Linked DNA regions of Drosophila melanogaster. The protein of the gene in region 2 interacts with the protein of the main gene of each other region in a pairwise test. Each region holds a gene or a part of one and is shown on either strand. Other genes may lie near its edges.

Region 1 (7,353 bases), on a different chromosome or scaffold from region 2:
CCAAAATGGGGGGCTTGGAGTCGAACACCCTCCCGGTGGAGAATCCGTCCCTGGAGCAACCGAGTTCGTTGTCCAGTCGGGCGAATTTGAGTCTGGTTTTCCGCACGCGTTTTGTTTACTGTCCGGTGACTTGTTGCTGTTCTCTGTGCCCGCCTTCGTCTCGTTTATCAGCGATTGCGAATACTCGCACGGACTGCTCAACACTTTAGTCAATATTTAGCCGCTTCCCGGAGAGGTTCATAGATCGCAGACGCACTACATAGTATCAGCATGGTTATCAACTTCGCCGCCGGTCCAGCCAAGTTGCCCGAAGAGGTCGGTGAAATGGGTGGCACCACTCCACACACGTGACGTGTAATAGTAACCTTGATTACATGGTTATCTCTATCTGCATATATAGGTACTGAAAGAGGTGCAGGAAAATCTTGTCAACTGCAATGGCAGCGGCATCTCGGTCATGGAGATGTCCCATCGCTCCAGCAACTATGCCAAGATCCATGATGCGACCATCAGCGATCTTCGCGAACTCCTCAATGTGCCCAGTAACTACAAGATTCTGCTGATGCAGGGCGGTGGCACCGGACAGTTCGCTGCAGTGGCTCTGAACTTGATTGGCAAGACTGGCACTGCTGATTATGTAATCACCGGCTCCTGGTCGGCCAAGGCGGCCAAGGAGGCGGCTCAGTACGGCACTGTGAACGCGGTGCTGCCCAAGTTGGCAAAGTATACAACTGTTCCACGACAGGAGACCTGGAAGCTGGACCCAAATGCCTCATATGTCTACTACTGCGACAATGAGACCGTAGAGGGCGTGGAGTTCGACTTTGTGCCCGAGGTTCCAGCCGGTGTGCCACTGGTGGCCGATATGTCCTCCAATTTTCTGTCGCGTCCCTTCGATGTCTCCAAGTTTGGCGTTATCTATGCGGGAGCCCAGAAGAATATCGGACCAGCGGGCACCACGGTGATCATTGTCAGGGACGATTTGATAGGCAAGCACTTGAAGATTACGCCCTCCATCCTCAACTTTGAGCAGATGGACAAGAACAACTCCCTGTTAAATACTCCGCCGACCTTTGGGTGAGCCCAGAATGATACATGGCTGGTGAATTCTTTGTTAAACTTTCCCCTTGCAGCATCTATGTGATGGGCCTGGTTTTCAAGTGGATCAAGCGGAACGGAGGAGTCGCTGGTATGGCCAAGCTGGCGGCAGCCAAGTCCAAGTTGATTTACGACACGATCAACCAGTCGAATGGTTTCTACTACTGCCCAGTGGATGTCAATGTGCGTTCGCGCATGAATGTGCCCTTCCGTATTGGCAGTGCCAGTGGAGATGATGCCCTGGAGAAGGAGTTCCTGAGCAAAGCCGAGGCCGAGGGCATGATTCAGTTGAAGGGTCATCGGTCGGTGGGCGGCATTCGAGCCTCCCTCTACAATGCTGTAACGCTGGCGGAGACCCAACAGTTGGCCAATCTGATGCTGGCCTTTTACAAGAACAATAAAAATTGAACAGGTTCATCTGTAATTTGTTGGTTTTTGATCGTTTACAAAAGGCCGCGTTGGCGGAAGATCTCGTCCAGCTTGAGCTCCAGGTTGGCGTTGGTTCCTCGCAGATTGTCCACCACCTTTTTGGCCCAAACGAAGTACTGATCACGACGCTCCTGGAATGAAAATATGTGATCCATAAGGTTCCGTTTTTCAAACCAAGATGGGCCCAAATACCTGTGTCCACCCTGTCGGTGTGTTGACTTGCAGATCCCTTAGGTTATCCAATTTGTCAGCCAGCTTTATGAGCTTTGCTCTGCAGCTGCTTTTGGCTGCATTTTCTATTTGCAGGCGTTTTCTCTCCTGTTTCTCCAGGGACTTGTCGTCCGTCACCTCCCTCACTAGTCCACAAACATCCGGTCCAAAGAGTTTCTCAACATCCTCGAAAGATGCGTCCGTATCCTCCACGACATCGTGCAGAAGTGCAGCCATTAGGACTCCCTCATCTGTGATGCAGGCCTCCACGGAGAGAATAGTGCTCACATTGATCACATGGTTCACATAGGGGGTTTCCTGAGGATCCTTGAAATGTAAAAAAGATAGTATTCATGTTTTAAATATATCATTTGTTGCGTTTTAATAAGCTTACCTTGCGACGTTGCTGCCGGTGCTTAAAAGCTGCATATTGGAGGCACTCCATGAATTTGGCAGATGGATATGTGGCCATTGTTGTAAGAAATAATTAAATGAACGGGCCTTTAGTTCAAATTTAAAGTCTAAACCTTATTTTTTGCATTTATTTACATTTTTAACATAACAGCTGACTTAACAGACCGGCAAGAATCTATAACAGAGCAATTGTTGGTGCTTTACAGCGCGGATGGTTAGGCCCTGGAAAACCTATCGATAAATAAAAAGCGCGGCATTCATTTAAATTCAAAAACCTTTATTTAAACAGTTCACCAAACTTAGTCCTTCTTCTCGTTCTGGTTCTCGCACTTGTTGCACTCCTGCTCCTTGGCCTTGCGCGCTGCTTTGGCGGCCTCCTCCGCCTCTCTTTTGGCCTGGGCCTCCAGTTCGGGAATGAAGAAGATCTTGCGAGACTTGAGCGTTGACCACTTAAAACGCTTGATGTAGTAGGAAATGCCAATCAAAAAGGTCGAAATCAGAGTAACTTTGATGAGCAGCAGGCGACGTTCGTCGGTCTCCGGTTCTGAAGTCCACTTGAGGAAGACGCACACATCCTTGGCAATTTGGGCGGCCGAAGCAGGCACATTTGGATCTTCAAAGGAGACCACCTCATTGTCAACTACCTTGCCCATGGCAATCGCTCCGCCCGAGAAGTACGGATTGAAGTACAGTCCATCACGAAGGGCAAAACCAGCCGGAGGATCACAGTATCCGGTGAGCAGGGAGAACACGTAATCCTCGCCGCCCTTGCGAGCCGACACAATATAGCTGAGATCCGGCGGATAGGAGCCATTGTTGGCGGAACGGGCCGCCTCCTCGTTGGCGTACGGAGAGGGGAAGTGATCGGACAGCTTGCCGGGACGCTCGTAGTACTCGCCCTCCTCGTTGGGCCCATCCCGCACCGTGATGGCCTCCGCCTCGGCCTTGGCCTCCGCCTCCGTCATGCACACTCCCACCAGGTTGCGATAGGCCATGTACTGCAATGAGTGGCAGGAGGAGCAGACCTCCTTGTAAACGGTGTAACCTCGACGCACGCTCTCCTTGTCCAAGGCGGACAAAAGCCCTTTGTGATTCCAGTGCTGGTGGGCCGGATGCACGCAGTCCGAGGAGGCATCCACGCTGGTTTCCAGGGCGTAGATCAGCAGCCCTGCTGTTCCGGTTAGGGCTCCCAGGGCTCCCAGCAGCTTGCGATTTCCAGTAAAGCCGCTTCCACGACCCGGAAAACTTATCCGCGGACGCACCGATGTCCGCTGGATGCCGCTCATGGCCAGCTGGAAAAGTTTGCTGTTCAGACTCCTGAATTTGTTGGCCATTTTCGGTCGGATTCAGCTTTATCTCTCAAAACGATTTATTTACAATGTCAACGCAACCAGTGTTGGAAAGCTCTGTCGACTGGGGTTGTCACCACTTGGGGAAATATGTTCTGTCGAAATGAAATCACGTGTGTTGCGGTAAGTTAATATTTTAATTATTATATATTAATTTAAATATAACACCATCACATGCAAAATTACGGATCAAGTGAATGGCTTAAATGCAGTAATAACAATATACATTATCAATTGAAAGATTAACACTTAGGAATCTATCTTTACTGTACTCACCTATGGCAAAATATTAGACTTCCTCCTTTGATGGCAAAAAATCGTCATTGCGAAGAAAATATGTAATTGTTTGGAAATATTGAAATGTGTAAAAGTATAAGCTTTTTCACAACAATTTTTTAATGACATTTCACACAAAGCCGGCAAGAGCAACCTTTACCTACTAATTAAGATACATATCGATCGAAATGCACTTAAAAGCTCTGCTAAACTATTTGGAAAACATCTAAGCCCCTCTCCCTTGTGTAAGCAGTATTAAAAAAGTTAGTTTCTGGAACTACAGAGAAGGCAGGATGCTTAGAAATCCCAGCACAGACTTTCTTCCACATCAAGCCCAGCTTAGCCAGATTCTTATCGGTGATCTTTCTCCATAAAGCATATGTAAACCAAAACCCACCCAAAGTGCTGTTATTCTTCACAGCTAAAAGGTTGAATCAACGTTTTTCTCTATTGTTGTAACGATCGCCTCCTTCTGGGTTTCTTTCCTGTCCAACCAGCGGAGCAACTTAAAAATACAAAAAAAAAAGCAAATGCCAGGGCACTTTCATTTGTTATCTGGCTCAGTAATCTGTAAATCGGTAACAGCCCACCAAACAACGGTGCATACAATATTTCCTAGCCATTCTTCACACTGTGTGACCACGAAATCGTCAAAGTCAGGCCCAAGCCAGCTTTTACAACAGCCAAGGAGTAGGGGCGTCGGCTTACCGCAATTTTAGGGGGGCTCAGAATGTGGGCAAGGTAGTAATGAAGCAACCAATAATTGTCATAAAGCTGCTTTACTACCCTTCAAATTAATCAGAACCCACTAAACTCCATTACAATGCTTGGATTGTAAGCTTAGAGGTGATAGTTCCATAAAGGGGAACCCCCTTTTCGACGCCTATGGCAACCAATAATGACAATGCACTGTCGACGTCGACAGAGCGATGTAAACTCTATTTTTTTTTTTTTGTTTTTGGTGAAAATTTGTACCTGATTTTATATTTCCCTTTTTTGTTACACTCTTTTTGTAGCTGTTGGTCTGGTTTTCTTGTTTTTTTTTTTTTCAGTTATTACGTATTTCCATGTTTACCATATTTTACACGCGCTTACAGGCACACAGATACAGATACTTCCACGGATACAGATGCAGATACATTTACCCCCGGATTTTCCCTATGTGCGTTTTTAGAGTTCTGCTTCTGCGCAGCGATGCATAATTCCCACTTTTGAAATTTGTGTGCGGTTGTTGTTGTTGTTGTTGTTTTCCTCTGCGGTGGTGGCTAAATGTTGTTGTTGTTGTTGTTCCCGTTGCCGCTGCGCAATTAATAATTCTTTTCGACTGGCGTGAAATTTTCATAAGCAAGAAAAAGCAGCAGCAACCGCACCAACTTTCCATGAAAATCTCCGGCCATTAGTAGCAATCGCAACGCTTTTCACCGTGGAAAACCGCAGAGATTGTGCTGCGACCCCATAGAAATGGGCTCACGTCATGAATTTTATTCAAATTACAAACTCATTAATAAATGGCGTTGTTTACATTTAAGTAGAAAACAAAGCGGGCATGATTGTCCAATTTCTAGATGATTATATACTATGGTTAGGAAAATCTATCACGGAATATATGATATAAAGAAATGCAGTGGTATTGTGATTAATTGGAATCTGCATATTTCTCCACTTAACAGCGAAGGATGTGTTGCAATCCTTTTTTCCCAAATTGCTCGTATTTATCAAAGGAGTAACTGCACTGAAGTGGTCTAAAATATGCAATTGACTTCGGGGTAAACACAAAGACCGGACTATGTCCAAATCAGATATAAAATGCAAGAGATATGACTTATCAACTGAATAATTATTCGTGAAAAAGATGGGCCTGCAAATAAAAATACCCGAGTACGGCACAAAAAAGTGTGCATAATTTAGCAATAAATGTAAATATTACTGGTCAGCTTCCTTTGGGAGCCAAAGCGCCATGCTGCTGCAGTTTCCTGTCCTCCTCTCCAGAGCAAGATGATGATTCCGTCATCATTATCATTTGCAACATCATCATCAGCAGCACCACCGTCATCATACGCCAGAGGAACGTAATAACGATGAGGCTGTGTGCTGGCCATGTCCCACTCCTTATCTTGGCAGCACGAAAACCAGAAACAAGAATTATAGACCAAAAGCCAGTTGCAATGCGAGCGCATCTTGCATCTTTGCCACCGATCCCCAGTACGTAGGTGTGTGTGTGTTAGTGCCAGTGCGAGTGCGGGGGCACTGCATCGGTGGGTATCTGTGTGAGCAGCGCCTTTGGCCACAAGTGAATGCATCCCAGCACCAAGTTGCATCTGCTGCACTCGCAGTGCTGGACAACGCTAGAAGAAAATCAAAGCAGCTCTTTTGAGATACAAAGCGGAAACCATTAATTTGGCCAGTTTACTTCATTTGGTTACGTCCACACAAAAGAAAGAATCGCTATTAGCAATTACACCTTTAGGCATGCTTATAAATATATGATTTCCAATTGATTTGTATTTATAAACTGCATTGCTTAAACTGAACTACAAAGCATCTCTCTCTCTTTAATAAAAACCAGCTTTCATTTAATATTCAACACAGAAGGCATACCCAAACTTTTTGCTCATAATAAACATCTTTCTTTTATGACGTATCTGAAAGATCGTTTTAACGCGTGCGCAGCTACCGTTGAAGGCGCTGGAAAATCGCATGCGAGAAATGAACTTTCAGTTCGCTCTCTTTGGCGCTCTCTTTCGATTTCGTATCTTTCGGATTCTCGTTCTCGCTGCTCATTTATCGCTCAATTTCGCAAAGACAACAACAGCAAAATCGCTATGCTCCCCTATATACAACGACATCACGATTTACGCGCATGTATGGGTGCAATGTATCTGTGTGTGCGTCAATTGCGAGTGTGAGTGTGTGTGTGTGTTTATGTGTAGCATGCGGTTTTGCTTTGGATTTTTGTAAACTTCTTCGCAGTCTTCGGTCGCCAAGAGAAAAGACCAAGCTTCGGGAGAAAGATACAGATACGTAGCTGGAGGACACAAGAAGGGGGTGGGGGATGGGGGGCAAGAGAAGATGCAGAGGAGAACGAACTTCATTATGAGGTTGTAACTGTCTTTTCAATTTCTCGTTCTGCCCGATTCGCTTTGCCAAATGGAGCCTAGAAGATGGATCTGCGCCTCCTCTCGATTCTCCTCTTGATTCTTCTGCCCCTTCTTCCTCATTCTGCTGGCCCCCCTCCCTAAGCACACACACACACACACACACACGCAAACCCATACAATCAGCAGTGCCCGTTGATGTTGATGAGTTTTGTTTTAATTCTGCGTCTTGACTTCAATTTCTTATAAAGATTGTTTATATGCACGTAATACAGTGCAGCCTCCCTAAAAGGAACTTATTTATATTATATTTTAATAATTTAAGAAAACAGGATTTAAGCCTTTAAGATCTAATAGCCCCGTTCAAATGTATCTAAGCATTTGCATCTGAATGCGCATCTGTGAAGTGCATGTCCCACTGTGGTTGTTGCTGTGATTTGGTGAATCGCGCGTAGCCGATTGTAATTATTGTAATCGAGTCT
Region 2 (7,362 bases):
AAACGGAGACAATATCTAACAGGCCCCCTTCGTTTGACAACAATTAATATCAAAGTACCATTTAAGAATCTAATTGAGGCCAGAACATAAAAACCGATCAATTACAATTGTAAAACTTTCGACATACATGTATTTACCCCGAAAAAAGTCATATATATGTATAAACATTTACTCTCCATCAGAGTCGCCTTGATTTGAGGGCTTGAGGCTGCCGAAGACCTTGGCTGGAATGGCCTTTTGTTCGAAGCGCAGTTTCTTCATGACCAGGCCTTCCTCGTCGGTTTTCGTGACCGCTGCACTGGCCTGATTCTCGTTCGTCATCTCGTTCTCCTCATCGTCGTCCTCCTCCTCATCGTCCTCGTCGCTGTCTCCAATGTCGATCTCATCAGGATTGACGACCGTATCCTTTTTATCCTTAGCACCACCCTGAGTCTCACCGCGCACAAACATAATATTCGAGGCCGCCTTCTCGATGGGCTTCTGTTTGGACTCGGCTGCCGCCTGGCGAGCTTTCTCCTCCAGCAATCGCATGGCATCCGGTCCAGCTCCTGCTCCAGCATCCGCAGCCGCTCCGTTGTTTGTGCTCAGGAATTGGGCGGCCATCATGTTCACCTGCGTATTGTAAGTGGCCTGCACAGAGCGCTTGATGCGCAGCATTTCGCGCATTGTGTCTTCGTTGCCGTGACGCACTTCGAACTCCTTCCAAGTTTGCCAAAAGTCTGCAGTGATGCGGGGATCACAAACCTGAAGAATGCAAACAATAATTAGATTAAGTGATGCATTAGAAATCTATATATATTATCATACCTGTGAGCAATGAGCATAGATGGCTCTAGCTCGATCCACTTCGCCCAACTTCGTTTCCAACTCAGCAAACTTAACGCACATGTGGCGCATATTCTGCTCGGGCAGCGATTCGATGGCCTTCTCATAGATCTCGCGGGTACGTGGCAGGCCATAGATCTCGGCTGCCTTCTTTATAAATATGTTGTACATGTCGAACATCTCATCTTCTTTGACAGCAGACGTGGCACGATCATAGACCGACATGGCATGCCGGGCGAGACCGTGCTCCTCTTCCAACTTAGCATACAGTAAATAAAAGTACTTAGCATGCTCGGGAGGACACTGATCCAGGCACTGTTCGAAGAGATCTCTGGCTCGCTCCAGTTTTGTGCCGCCATAGCGCTCCAAAAATTTGGTTAGATAAGAGTTCCAAATGTCGTAGACATTGGGCCACTTGAACAGAGAGATGCCCTTCTCATAGGCTCGGTAGGCTTCCTCAAAGTAGTTGTGCTCCTCGAGGAACATTCCGTAATTGATAATGATCTGTGGCGTACAGATTTTCAGATCAATAATCCGCTCGTAGACGGCTTTGCACGTCTTGAATGTGCCGAATGACTCCTCCAAATCCGCGTACATGGACCACACTTTTAGCGAGCGATGAAGGCGCGCCTGCACCGTTTCCGTATCATCATAATAGGCAATCTTTCGCTTTGGCATGGCCGTCGCCCTTTGCATCAGCTTGAGTGCCGCCTCGAACTGCTGTTGCCGTAACTCCATCTCTGCCCATTCGCACCACACCGCCGCCAGATCCTCTACTTTAACATACTCAACCTCAGTGCCGCGTTCGAAGACCACACGAGCATCCTCCACCTGTCCGTTGGCCTCGTAGAACTTGGCGAACTCCACCCAGAGAGTGTGTAGTTTGCCGACCGCCTGCTTCGGCTGCACTGTTTGCACGGCCTCGGTGTACGTACTGATGATCTCGGCGGGCTTGTCCTCGTACAGTGTCACCCGCTTGTGCCACTCGTGCACGTTGTGCGGATTCTGGCGCAGAAGCACACTATTCAACAGCAGCAAACGGCGCTCCATGAGGTATTCGAAGCGTGAGAGCCGCAGTTCAACGTCAATGTCGTCCTCCTCGGTGGCCGCCTCATTGGCAGCTACCTGCTCCATACGTCTGTTCAGCGAGAGTTCCTCGAACTGTGCGTATTCATCAAAGACTTGGGTGAAGTCTCTTACGGTGGTCACAGTTTGAATGGCTTCCTCGTATATATCTCTTGCCCGATCAAATAAGCCGGAACGCACATAGTAATCCGCCAGAGAGTTCCACAGGTGGCCCAGCTGATCGGTGTAGCGACGCAGCCCACCGCGAATGATGGCGTCCACGTTCAAGGAGTGCACCTTGTGTGGATTCTTCGAGATGAGGTCGCACAATTCGTTCCACAGCTGATGATTGGACTTGCCGTGTTTGGAAACGAAGTGCTCGTTGTCGACGATGTGCGCCAGCTGCTGGGCAGCTTCGTCCAGCCGATCTGCTTCCTGTAGGTAGTCCACATATTCCTCTGTGTCCTCGGGAAAGAGTTTCAGATATCGACGGTAGACTCGCAGTGCTGTTTCCGGCATTTCAAAGCGGCGTACAAACTGCAAATACAGTGGCCAAATCCTGCCGTGCTGCGTGATGGGCAGAGCCCTTAGAGCCCGATCGAAAACGTGCCGGGTGCGGGTAATCTTGCATTGCGAGGTCATGAAGGCACCGTAGTCCATCCAGATACGTGGCATTTTGTGCATAAACACCAGTGCACGTTCGAAGGCACTGTTGACCTCCTCGTACATGGGATCCGTGGGTATCTTGCCGCGCACCTGCTTCCTGCGAGTTCTCAGGTAATTGTGCCAGATCTTATAGCTGCCAGGAAGCTCTTTCAGAGCACGCTCATAGACCATGTTAACACCATTATTCGGCGCCTTCGCTTTGTGATCAATGTAGCGCAGCCAATGTTTTACGGAGTAGGCGTTTCGAAGGATTTCCTCCTCATACGGCACATCCTCCACTTCCTGTGTGTGAAAAACTTGATAGGTTAGTTGTGATTTACATATATTTCATGGTACTTACGAAATTGATCTCTAAATTCAGAGATTTTATCGTTTTTGTCACCATTTTTCGCGATTTTCATGAAATGCCGCAAACAATAATTTTCTCATGCGCGTCCCACGAAAACAGCTGATCGAAATGGCGTTGCCAGAAGGTTTGAAAAGTAGTGGTATTAAGATACCGCAGCTAATACCAAAGTAATTAAATCCTAATTAACATGTAAACAATATTTTAAGAATACAGAAAAATTGTTCATAAAACTAAGATAACTTTGGCTTGTGTACATTTTTTTTACAAATTGTGAACATCTAGAATTTTCTAAGTGCACCTTATTTAAACGTTGAAGTTATGGACAAACCAAAACAATCGTGAATTTTCTAGAGTACCATTGCGGTATATTTTGCCTCCCTTTGAATTGGTATTTCGCCCTTCGTCCGCTGCCCAACACTGGCCTCAGTTTGTGAATTTTTCGTAAGCCCATCTGCAGATGTTTTCGTCGCTGCTGCCAATATTTTGACGTTCATACCGTTTGCGTATTTCGCAGAGACCAGTTAACGCGCTCGTAAAATCGCAAAAAACACACTTAACGCGATCGTTTGTTCTGTTTTTGTAAACACATTGCAATTGGCCTGCATTTTGCATAATTTACGCAACGAAGGCAACTGCGTGAGTGCACCAACACACACACACACACACACAGCCGTGCAAAAGAGAGCCAAAGAGAGTGAGGAGCGCAGGCGAGTTGGCAGCCAAAGGCAAAAAATCAAAGTCTATCGAAAAAAACACTATAAAAATAGATCAAAATGACGCGCTTGAAACATTTCTCAGCATAGAACGACTATCAATCGAATTAAGTTTTAAGTAATACCCAACGACCGTGGAAAAACCAAGCACAGTGGTAAGTAAAAGACGAGGGGAAAACACGAAAAAACACGTCACACGTGTGCGTGTGCTTGCAAGTGTGTGTGTGCGAGCGTGTGAGTGGGTGGGTGTCATAAATATTTTCGCACACACTTGTTCCTGCATTGATTTTATATTTTTCGCACAGGCTCAAACTTGTGTGTGCCGCCGCACTCCAATTGGTCCAGGTAAATCCAATTAGACTGGATCCTAGGTAAAAAAAAACCACCACCGGAAAATCTATTTCCCCGCTTCCCGAACAGCTGTTTATGATGGTTCTCAAAAATTTTCCACTCGCTCTTGTTGCCCGAGGGAAAATTTTGGGCATTTTAGGGCCTCCCGTATTGAATGTAAACAGAAAACACACACGAAAGTGCGGAAAAGCGCTTAGATTTTCCTTGCCGGCTGTGGCCCAATATCTCTCTCTTTGCCACCCCCTCTCTTCGCACTGTTGCCACCCACTAAACTGACACACTAAGCCGCCCGCCAGCAACAACAGCAACAACAAAGGCGGCTAAAACCACTGCAGCTTTGAGCCGCATGCAGCTTTTTTAACTGCCAGCGGAAAAGCTTTATCAATTCAGTTGGCTAAAATCCCAGCAAAGATTCGGGTTTATTTCAAGGAAAACTTTTAATTCTTAAAATTAAAAATGCCCGTTGTTTTCAAATGAGATTTTTTAAAATGATTATTATGTCTAAAAATTGTAAATAATCTAAAAGAGTTGAAAAAACCATAGCATATTCACTTAAAAATAGCTTAAAAACATTGCTAATTATAAAATATCATATTGAGATGACTTCTGCTAACAATATTATATCATATTCAATATTTTGCCCACTGAGAATGAGAATGTGCTGACCACAATTTCCCCTAAGCCACCCACTGCACTTCAACGAATATTCCAGAAACGCTCGGAGAAAGCTTCTCTTGGCCAAAAGCAGCTTTCCTGCCGCTTTTTATAGTCTCATTTATTGATTCCATTCCTCTCTTCTGTTCTTATTTCTACTTGCAGCCAAAGCAACGCATCGACGCATAAACGCTAGTTAATAATAAAAGTGCATAAAATTATTCGTATTCCAACCATCTTCCGTCATCTAAAGTGCTAAAAATTCGTCACCATGTCGCGTTCAAGTAGTTTGTTTTTTAATTCGGCTGCCAAGTTAGAGACTAAAAAACTTAATTGATTCGATCAAGAAAAGTGAGCAACCAGCAGTGAAAATACACAACAGCAGCATAATCACTTTCGAAACCAGTTTTTTCGTAAAGAATCGCGAAGAGTGTTCCAGAAAAGTGCAACATCACATTCCCACACAGTATATGCACACACACACAAACACACTATATATACATATAGGTACATATATAGCAACATCGGAGCATCCAGGGAAACGACCCACAGCACCCACTTCGGTTAATCTCGCTTGGTAATTAAGGGTTCATCGCCTAATGGCAAGTTCGCTCAACAAGACGAGACACAGGCGCAGACTGGCTGCGATCTCGTTCCTATCGAATATCTCGTTAGATGGCACCCATCGGGACACCAAATTCGGCGCAACATTCGGCAGCAGCCTGCTCTGCAACCAGAATAAGAACCCATCCTCGCTGGGACTCGGCTCGGGGGGCTTTCATCCGCACTATCAGCAGCACCACCATCAGCGCAGCCACTCGGCGACGCACCACAACCACCAGAAGCGGCATCACACGCAGCAGCAGCAGCAACAGCAACAACAGCAACACACCCAACAGCAGCAGCAGCAGCAGCAACATCAGCAGCAGCATCAGCAGCAGCAGCAACACCAGAATGGCGCCCTCTGTTCGCCGCTCCTCTGCAGCGCCGATGTCCACATGGGCATCGATGGCGGCATCGGGCTGGGATTGGGACTGGAGGACTGCACCACCGGTGCCAGCGATGGGGACGGGCATTTTAGTGAAACTGAAAATATGGGTCAATACCTGATGAACGTCCTGCCGGCCGCCGATCACAATCGCAGCAGCATTGTGCCGGCCGAGAGACGCAACATAAAGCGCCCGACCTCGTCGGGTCGTCATAACCACCAGGCACCGGGCAATGGCAATATGGGCAATAAGCTCCAACAGCAGCAGCAGCAGCAGCACAAGTTGCAGCAGCAACAGCGGCAGGCACGAAGTTGCGCCGCCGGCAGCGGAGGATCGGGTGCCGAGAGTGGCAGCGATTCGGACAGCGTCAAGATACCGCTCAAGGTGTCCAATCTGGGCAGCGGCGGTGGCGTGGCCGGCGGAGCGGGCAGCAAGCTATTGCCGCTGAGGGAACGGTGAGTAATCAATGCACAATTCATGTTTGTCATATCAGTGAACTATCTTAGCTTATTATGGTTTCTAATCAGCATTTTGTTAAGCAGTTGCTAGAAGTTGTAATCAAATTAGCTGTATGAAGAGGCAACTGTAAAGATTCTTACCATAAGTTTATATAATATTATAAATGTTATATTAGATCGACTATAAGGGAACCTACCAAAATATTCAAACAGGAAATGTGTTAAGTTATTGCAGCTTCAAATTTATGTTTTTCCAATTAAACGATCTTCTATCTTGTAGACACTCAGAAATAGATTGACACGTGACGTCAAGTGGACAGTTTTCCTTAGTCCAATCGCAATATTTTCCAACCATACACGTACGAATGAAATTCGCTTAATATTCCTTTGCTCTTTGTTGATTTATAAATAATTTCTACGCTACGAGAATGAATGAATCATTCCGCTTGATCACTGAACTTTTGTTGAGTTCAATTAAGCTGTCGTCATAATTGGCATCGATTTTTCCCCTCCCCAAATTTGTTAATTGAAATTTCCGCTAAGTTTACGTTAGCCAATTGACACTGGTTCTCTAATTTGCTTACGAAAAAGGCTCAGCTTGATCGAAAGTACCGCGAAAGCAAAACACTTCGCTGGGCGTTCTGAAATCGAAAATTATTTATAAACATAAGCTTGTGAAAATTGAGAGAGCGCTTTTCCGATTGTGACGTATTTTCGCAGATGGCGAGGGACTATTTGCACGTTTTCAACGCCTGATGCTGCATAATTAGGAGTCTGTCTGTTGCCGGTCGCTTGGCGCTAAAAATATCGCCTACCCCAAAAATACACATCAAATATTTTGATCTCATGAGGGGCAAGGGGTTGGGCGTTGGATGGGAGGGTGGGGCCTGTAATCGAATCGGCTTCATTCATCAACGTGTGCCGGCTCAATTAACGTAAATTAGAGAGCGTGCCCGGCCGAAAGCTGTGCAAACAATTGTTTGAATTAAGTTGAATTGAATTGCATGTCGAGGGGCGTCGCGGTGTTCGTTTAATTCGGAACTTTTGTCCGAGGCGCCAGTCATTTTGTCACGCACTTAAACGGCCTGTCAACGTTGAATCATGGGCATTATATCTGGTTGTATTAGCGCAAAGTAATTACGCAATGTCCAAATGCGTGTGCCATCGAATCGCTCGTAAATCGCTAGCGAAACGCTCGTAAACCGCTCGCAAACTGCCTTGAACTTACGCCCCACTCTACCCCCCCCCCCCCTACTCGGGGGGACTTTCTTTGTCTTTCTCCGTGCATAAAG
Region 3 (7,362 bases), on a different chromosome or scaffold from region 2:
GGGCATTCCGGCACTGCGGCGCGTAGCGCACAGGCGGGCACCCTTGCCTGCCCACTCCTCCTGGCCGCTGACCATCGCCATGGCCTCGTCGACCCACTGGCCGGGCAGCTGGTTGAGACGCACCGACTCGCTGTGCCAGAAGCGGCGGCACAGCATCGTGAATCCCACGTAGGCCTGCTCGAAGGCGCCGCGATGCTTCGTCTCGGCCAGCAGTTGCAGGAAATGCTCCCCGATGGCCTCCAGCTGAGCACGGCTGAGCAGGAAGTCGCCCTGCTGCTGCTGCTGCTCCTCATCCTCCTCCTCCTCCAGTGGTGCGCGCTGGACAAGCTCGCCCAGGATGAGGCACACCTCCTTGCTGCTGCGCCAAGCGCACAGCAGTATCATCTGGGGCGTCGTGCGCACCTGCAGCAGTTCCTCGCGGCTCAACTGACGGTCGAGCACGTTGGTCAGCGGCTGATCCGTCTCCTGGTCGCAGGTTTCGGGCAGGTGGCCTTCGGGGGAAGCGCTGCTGACCACAGGCAGCACTACGCTGCTGACTGCCAGGCACATGGTCACTAGCTCGTCTATGTACTGCCTCCACTGAGGCTCTTTCGCCAGTTCCTTGAGTTTGAGTTGCTGCAGCAGATGCCGGCTGGCAAAAAGCAGGCCGTACAAAGGGTTCAGCTTGGCCGCCTCGCCAAGATCAAGCTGGGCGAGACGCAGGCCCTCCCTCAAGTGCTGCAGGCACCACTGCAATGCCCTGAAGGTAAGCGGCTCGTGGATTGTGCCACCGTGCGTTGGCGTGGGCATCTCGCTTTGCACTCGACTGGCTTTGCAATAGACCTGCAGCTGGAAGGCTCCGGTGGCGGAGTCCGATGGCCTGAGGGAGAGCAGCAGCTCGATCATCTCATCCGGCTTGAAGAGGGAATGGGATTGAAATCGCTCCAGCAGCTGAGCGGCCAGCACTTTGTTGTGCTCGTAGCTGTCGCCCAAGCAGGCCATCAGTGCCTCTGTGGGCAGCTCTATTCCCAACTCGCTGAACGTTATGCCCACCATCTCGCTTAACTCCAGGCAATCGCGCAGCAAGCGCAGCGAAAGCCAGCGTCGTCCGTAGTTCGCCGTGGGAAACAGATTCTGCGCGAGAGTGCGGATAAGCCGTATTAGGAACTGGAGCACCTCCTGCGACGCCGGCGTGCGGCTCTTCCGGTACTCGACCAGGCCGAAATGGACTCTCTTGAGGGCCTTCTGCAGCAGACCGTAGCCTAGCTGCCGCAGATGGGCGCTAGGATTGTTGGCATTGTGCCGCACGTAAAGTTCAATGGCGCCCATTTGGTCGGCATTTAAAAGTTCGCTGGGACGCGGCGTCTCCACCAGAAATCGCAGCGCCAGTAGGCGCGTGTGGTCGTCCAGTCCGATGAGGGCCTGTTCCACCTCCTCTTTCATGCCACGCAACAGATTCTGCCGCCTGGCGCTGAGTTGCCTCACGCCCAGAATCGCCGCCAGCTTGCAGCTAAGCGGCAGCCGGTCGTCTGGCAGGAGCACTTGCGCCAGTCTCGTTGGCTCCAGCTGTACGGCCTGTGCGATCAGCTCCTCAATGACCTGGCGGCGCTTCTCCGGCACGCGGATTGCCGCCAAAAGCAGACCGAACCACCGGCTCTGCCACTCGGCGAAGGGTTCCGTCTTGTGGGCCGATACCATCATGGCTAATAAGTATAATAACAAAAGGAATAAGTACACGATTCGAGGCTGCATTCAATGAAGGATACTTGCCTTTGAACAGGGCATCCACACAATCCTCACAGCCCAGATGGCGCGGGAATATGACTCCGAACAGCGAAGGACAGTTCTCGATGGACTTGCTGACTCCGGCCACCGCAACCAGCTGCTCCAGTGCCATGCAACTGGCATTTAGGTATGCAGCACGATCTTCAAACTGGCGATAGACGACTTGGAAGAGCTCCTCCTGGCCGGCGGCCTGGGCGTGCTGCAGCACCTGGTGCAGCAGGGCGCTGCTCATGTGGCGCACGGAGTCCGTGTCACTGGAGATATTCTGCAGGGCGAACACCTGCAGCTGTGCCAAGATCCGTTGGTATAGCAACTTCTGGTCGTCAGGAAGATGGGCGTGCATCTCGCCCAGCGATTTGGAGTAAATGAACAGATGCTTGGAAAGGAAGACAAGCAGATTGGTCACGGTGCTTTTCAGCTCGCTGACGGCCACGATCCTCTTCAGAATAGCCAGTGCTAGTGTAGCGTTTTCTGTATAATCGACGGGCCGCAGGACGAGCAGGGCGGCCATCTGTATGGGAACATCCTGCTCTGCCTTTGGCCTCGAGCAGTCTTCGACATACGCCTTGAATGTTCCGGAAAACCGAGCCAGGTGACCGATCAGCAGGGCGGCAATGGAGCGTACGTCCCACGGAGTGTCGTAGTAGCGAGCCACCTTTTGGGCCACCGCATTCGACGTGCCCGGAAACCGCTGATCCTCGAACAGGCGCAACTTGTCGCTCCACTCGGCCAGCAGACTAACCAAGAACCGCAGCGCATTCTGCACGTACAAGTAGAGCTCGTTGCGACGCGTTGGCGAGAGTTCCAGCGTAGGGTCACTGTCTTAAAGCAAGGTAATTGTGGAGTCAGCATTGTGCGCAGCTATCATATACATTAGATTGACGCACCAAATGTCCGCCCAGTAGCGCTCCAAGGCGGTAGTTAGCAGCGGCGCAAAGCGATGCACCTGTTTGCCCAGGGCCTCCCGTCCAAAGGGAAAGTTCTGCAGGCAGGCGTTGGCGGACACGAAGACATCGTTGGTGCGCTCGTGGCTGACAGGCGGCGTGATCACTGCGAGACTGTTGGCCATTTCGCCGAGCGACTGCTGCAGAGCCTCCAGCAGGTGCTCCTTCGAGTGCCTGCGATGTGGCGACGCATTCTGTTTGGCCAGCGCATTGTCCGAGAAGAGTCTAAATGGGATTGATCATCGGCTATAGGACATCCAGTTGGATCGTGTGGCTTGAGTCGCCGTGGGCTCACCGTACTTGGTCAGCTGGTTGCGCACGGCGTGCTTCAGGGGACTGGCCAGCAGGAGATCCGCCAGGAAGTGGGCTACATCTTCATGATCTTGCGCCTGCTCCCCGTAAAAGACATCCTTGACCACCTGCACCTGCTCCGCACTGCTCTTGGCCGCCGCGAACTGGAGCACAAAGTCATGTGGCGCTGGAAAATGGAGAAGCGATTGGAGCCTCAGCATGCATGTTTATACATAGCTTACTGGTGGTCACTAAGTGACCCACCACAACCCACCGGCAATCCACGTGTTGGGCAGTGGCACAAGGGCGTCGCGCAGCTCGGCAAATCTCTTGGGGTGAGCACACACCTTCAAGGCGGCCACGCGCAGGTTCAGATCGTTCATGGTTCTGTCAGGATTGCGGATAAATAGTAAATATCAGATGGTTTAAATCAGCCACTTTGGTGTTGTCAGTAGAGCTGTGAGCAATTCGATTTCAAAATCGATCTAATCGATATTTTCAGATGGGCGAAGAAATCGATAACATTACTAGGAAATCGATGCTATGTCTATCTATCTTTATAAGGTGACAAATCTAATCTTAAAGTAATATTCCTCAATTAAATTAATCACATTTGTACTGCCCCCTACGTACCAGTGGATTATAAATAATCTATGAAAACATATTGATCTTACAAAATATATTAACATTGCATTTTTTTAGATAACAAAAATTCTAAGCATAAGAGCTGCCTCTTAATTTTTAAGCTGATTAATTGATTTAAGGCCGTTTTTTTCGACTTAATCGATCTTTTTTAGAATCGAAAAGAATCGATTCCCAAGCGGTAATATTGTTTACGACATTAGTTGCCACCTTTACTTATTTACTTACTTTACTTTGTGGAACTAAGTTCCACATCTGGGATGCCAAACACTCACGCTTAGCAAGTACTTGCTCCTCTGCTAACCCAGTGCGCCCATAAATTCTGTGCTGCCACCTTTTCTTCTATCGGAGATACGCGCCGCGACAAGAGTTGCCATCCGCTCTCCTTGCCCGTTACACACAGCACCAACAAAACTTGATACGTATCTATCGATAGTATCGCATGGAAATAGGTCCTAGTTCCACCTCTAATGTGCATTGGGTTATTTATTTTTTTTCCTGTGATTTGTTTATTGAGTGAGCCCTGTACGATGCGATTTTTATGTGCGAATAGTAAATATTTCGGCCCACGGTGCCATCCGATTCAGATGGAAAACACAATTGGTTTCCAATAGGAAAAGTTTGCATCATGTTTTCGTATGCCAAACGCTCGACGTGTGCGTGTGCGTGCGTATGTATTTGTTGGGTGTAAGGTGCATTTGTGTGTGTACGTGAGAGGGGGAGGATTCGTAAAAGTGTTTTTCCTCGTTTTCTCGTAACCTATCTTAAAACAAGCATGTAACATAACTTGCGAAAGCCCGAAAAGCATCTATGAAAATTCGGAGAAATCCACCTGGCTTGGCCGTTTTGCCTGTGTAGTGTGTTTTGTGTGGGAGCGCCAGAGTAAAAGAGAGGGAGTGAGAGTGAGAGGGAGCGAGCGAGAGAGAGGCTTTTTTTTGTTGATACACCGTGAGTGCATGTGTATGTGTGTGTGCGCCTCTTTATTTGTGACGAAATGTGTATAAAATGTTTATGTTTATGTTTTTTCCCGCCCCTCCCGCCACCCACTCACACACGCACACTTCTATGCAAATAGGCGCCGCACAAGTTTGAAGTGAAACGCGATCGGCAAAAACAATAAATCTCACCACAAAGTGGAGCAGCACCCACAAATAAATAAAAACATAAATAAAAGTGCGCCCGCCCGAAAGTAGGAGAACAACAAACGGCTTAGGAAGCATCGCGAAACGTCATTAAAGGTCGGCAGATGGGCGGCCTACGGATTTTCGTGCCCTCCGCTGGCCATTCTCCTCGTGCTTGCTGCTGTTGTTGTTGTTGTTGCGGCTCCCAGAGCAGTTGCAGTTGTTGTAGTTGTTGTTGCTGTTGCACTAGCTGCAGCGGACCAACGGCCACAGCGCAGTGAGAGCGAGCGGGACGGCAAGCGAGCGCCACTGAAGGTGCGAGCGAGAGGTGAGTGACTTTGGCTTTCTAACGGTGGCATCTCCCCCCCCCCCATCAAACGTAACAATAAGAGCGACCGAAAAGGGAAAAGGAAGAGGAAGAGGGAGGAAGACTGGGCTTAGTGGGTGGGAATACAGTAATCACTCGCTTATAGTGATAATATAATTCCGAATTCAATTAACCCGCTACCAGCTAATATCTTTTGTGTGATTTTCTGAATACAGATCTTTTAAAATGTTTTCATAGGTACGAGTTTTTTAAATAATTCCACGCTTCGGAACAATGAAAAATGTTTAACTTTCCTTTTATCCGTTACGAATTTTTCAATGAATATTTCTAGTATGTCATTCTTTTAAGTCCTTAAGAATATAATTTGGTTTAGCTTTGCATCGAATTTATTTATTTATATTTTAAGATAAAGCAAATTTTAAGAAATAGCAAACATTTAAATTGGAGAATGCATTTTAATGAGTTTAGTGAGTTTTTTATGAGTCCTGTAAAATAAAACAATTTGAAATAAATACTTTTTGTAATTGCATACTTATTACTCCTTCAAAACAATTGATTAAATAATAGAATTTCGCGATGTGCAATATGATGTGCATAGTAATTTTTGTAATTATGATTATATATATATATTATTATATTATATATATTATATTTTTATATTATATTTTTATATTATATTTTTATATTATATTTTTATATTATATTATATATATTATATGTCGCATAATTGCGTATCGAAAGCTTTTCAAACATTGTAAATGCGTTTACATATGTACAATATATAGGTTAGTAGTTTGAAGGTTAGTAAAGGTCAAATCTAAATTGTTCTGCATTTCAGTTAAAACCTTCTAGGTCCAGCCGATTATCTTTAAGTCGAGTAAATAAATCCAAATCGATATAAAACAATTCATTCTTTTATTTGAAAATAAGAACAGCAAGTGATGGGTACTCTAAATACTCCATGTTCCAACCGACAGTTTCGAGTTGAGATGCATTCTCTGGCACTCCGCCTCCATTTTCATTTCGTAGCTGGCGTTCCCATTGTTTGTCACGTGCGGCCACTTCAGCTGAATTACAAGGAACCGAACTGAAATGTACCACGGAGCAGAAAGGATGGGGGGGGGGGGGGCAAACGAAAGTGAATGTGTAGGAGGCAGGCCCTTGTTTCTTGGTCTCTTCTCGAAATACTTCATTTATTAACCTCCCTCGTTTACCGCTCCTCTTTCCCGCACAGCCCCACGAAATGGTCTCGAAGAAGCGCTCCAATGCCGCCGAGCGTGTCCAGCGTTCGACGGCGACTGCGGCAGCGGCGGCAGCAGCAGCTGCCGCAGCAGCGACGGCGTCCTCGACGCAGGGCAAGAAGCGGCCCGGGAAACAGACGAAGGCCTCCGGTGGCGGCGGCGACGAGGCGGATGACAAGAAGTCAGCCAGCAAAACAGATTCGGCGGCCAAGAAGCCGGCCAAGGATCCAACGGGATCATCGGGCGTGTCCACAGCCACCACTGAGGGTGGTGCTGGAAATGGAGGCGGAAAACAAACGACCTCCACCACGACATCATCCACATCCTCGACAACCGCCCCGTCCGCATCTGCATCTGCATCTGCTTCCAACAGCCTTAAATTGTCGCCGGAGGAACGACACGAGGATGGCAAGGCGCGGGCCATTAACAAGATGCTTAAGAGCCTGGATATCAAGATCCACGGCTTCGACAACCTGCTGCCTAGCGGCGAAGAGCGGCTCAACGACGGCGTGCTGAAGTCCTCCATTTCGGAGAATGTCAAGACCAAGTCGCGCGCAGCGGCGGTCAAGGTGATTTCCAGCCTGAATCCCGGCAAGATGCCGCCTGTAAAGCGAGTGCGTCCCTCACCGGAGCCAGTTAGAGAAAAAGTTGCGGAGAAGCCGGCAGAAAAGGTACTCGATAAGGAGAAACCGAAGGCGGAGCAGCAGATCACGCCGCCTCCCGCTCCAGAGGAGTCTCCTGCCTCAAAGGTGCCCAAGAAGACGGTGCAGCAGGCCAAGAAGGCCAAGGTGGAGTCATCATTAGTACAGGCGACAGTTTTAACGACAACTTCCGCAGCTACGTCAGCACCCAGCTCCGCTTCCACTTCCAAGCATACATCGACAAAGAATCCTGGCAAGAAATCAGCCCATTCAGAGCAGATGCCAAAAAAGGAGCTATCCAAGCTGGCCAAAATGGGCAAACCGAAAAAGGAAGCCAACTTGGTGAAGAGCACTGCCCGTTTGCCCGACTCAAATACGGAATCTGTGCAA

The links.
Region 1: the proteins of fand (region 2) and Cyt-c1L interact in a two-hybrid assay, tested with the Drosophila melanogaster proteins (one large-scale study listed by BioGRID).
Region 3: the proteins of fand (region 2) and THADA interact in a two-hybrid assay, tested with the Drosophila melanogaster proteins (one large-scale study listed by BioGRID).

The regions. Positions count from the first base shown.
Region 1 is NT_033777.3:29,200,251-29,207,603, forward strand, and holds Cyt-c1L (cytochrome c1-like), read right to left. Parts: upstream 3,884-7,353; 5' UTR 3,777-3,883; intron 3,596-3,776; 5' UTR 3,486-3,595; coding exon 2,451-3,485; 3' UTR 2,410-2,450; downstream 1-2,409. Other genes in the region: CG11899 (uncharacterized protein), read left to right, coding at 271-315, 401-1,077, 1,134-1,506; Mesh1 (metazoan SpoT homolog-1), read right to left, coding at 1,542-1,658, 1,720-2,064, 2,132-2,209.
Region 2 is NT_033778.4:13,589,305-13,596,666, reverse strand, and holds fand (fandango), read right to left. Parts: upstream 3,024-7,362; 5' UTR 2,942-3,023; coding exon 2,897-2,941; intron 2,839-2,896; coding exon 808-2,838; intron 745-807; coding exon 169-744; 3' UTR 110-168; downstream 1-109. Other genes in the region: CG45088 (uncharacterized protein), read left to right, coding at 4,895-4,960; CG6191 (uncharacterized protein), read left to right, coding at 5,223-6,067. UniProt on the Drosophila melanogaster protein: Subunit of the NTC(Nineteen)/Prp19 complex, which is part of the spliceosome. The complex participates in spliceosome assembly, its remodeling and is required for efficient spliceosome activation. Essential for efficient pre-mRNA splicing.
Region 3 is NC_004354.4:19,862,077-19,869,438, forward strand, and holds the start of THADA (THADA), read right to left. Parts: upstream 3,449-7,362; 5' UTR 3,383-3,448; coding exon 3,274-3,382; intron 3,187-3,273; coding exon 3,009-3,186; coding exon of another isoform or gene 3,004-3,008; intron 2,934-3,003; coding exon 2,652-2,933; intron 2,587-2,651; exon of another isoform or gene 2,583-2,586; coding exon 1,750-2,582; intron 1,683-1,749; coding exon 1-1,682. Other genes in the region: Hers (histone gene-specific epigenetic repressor in late S phase), read left to right, coding at 6,334-7,362. UniProt on the Drosophila melanogaster protein: Together with methyltransferase Trm7-32, methylates the 2'-O-ribose of nucleotides at position 32 of the anticodon loop of substrate tRNAs. Plays a key role in energy homeostasis by regulating the balance between energy storage and heat production.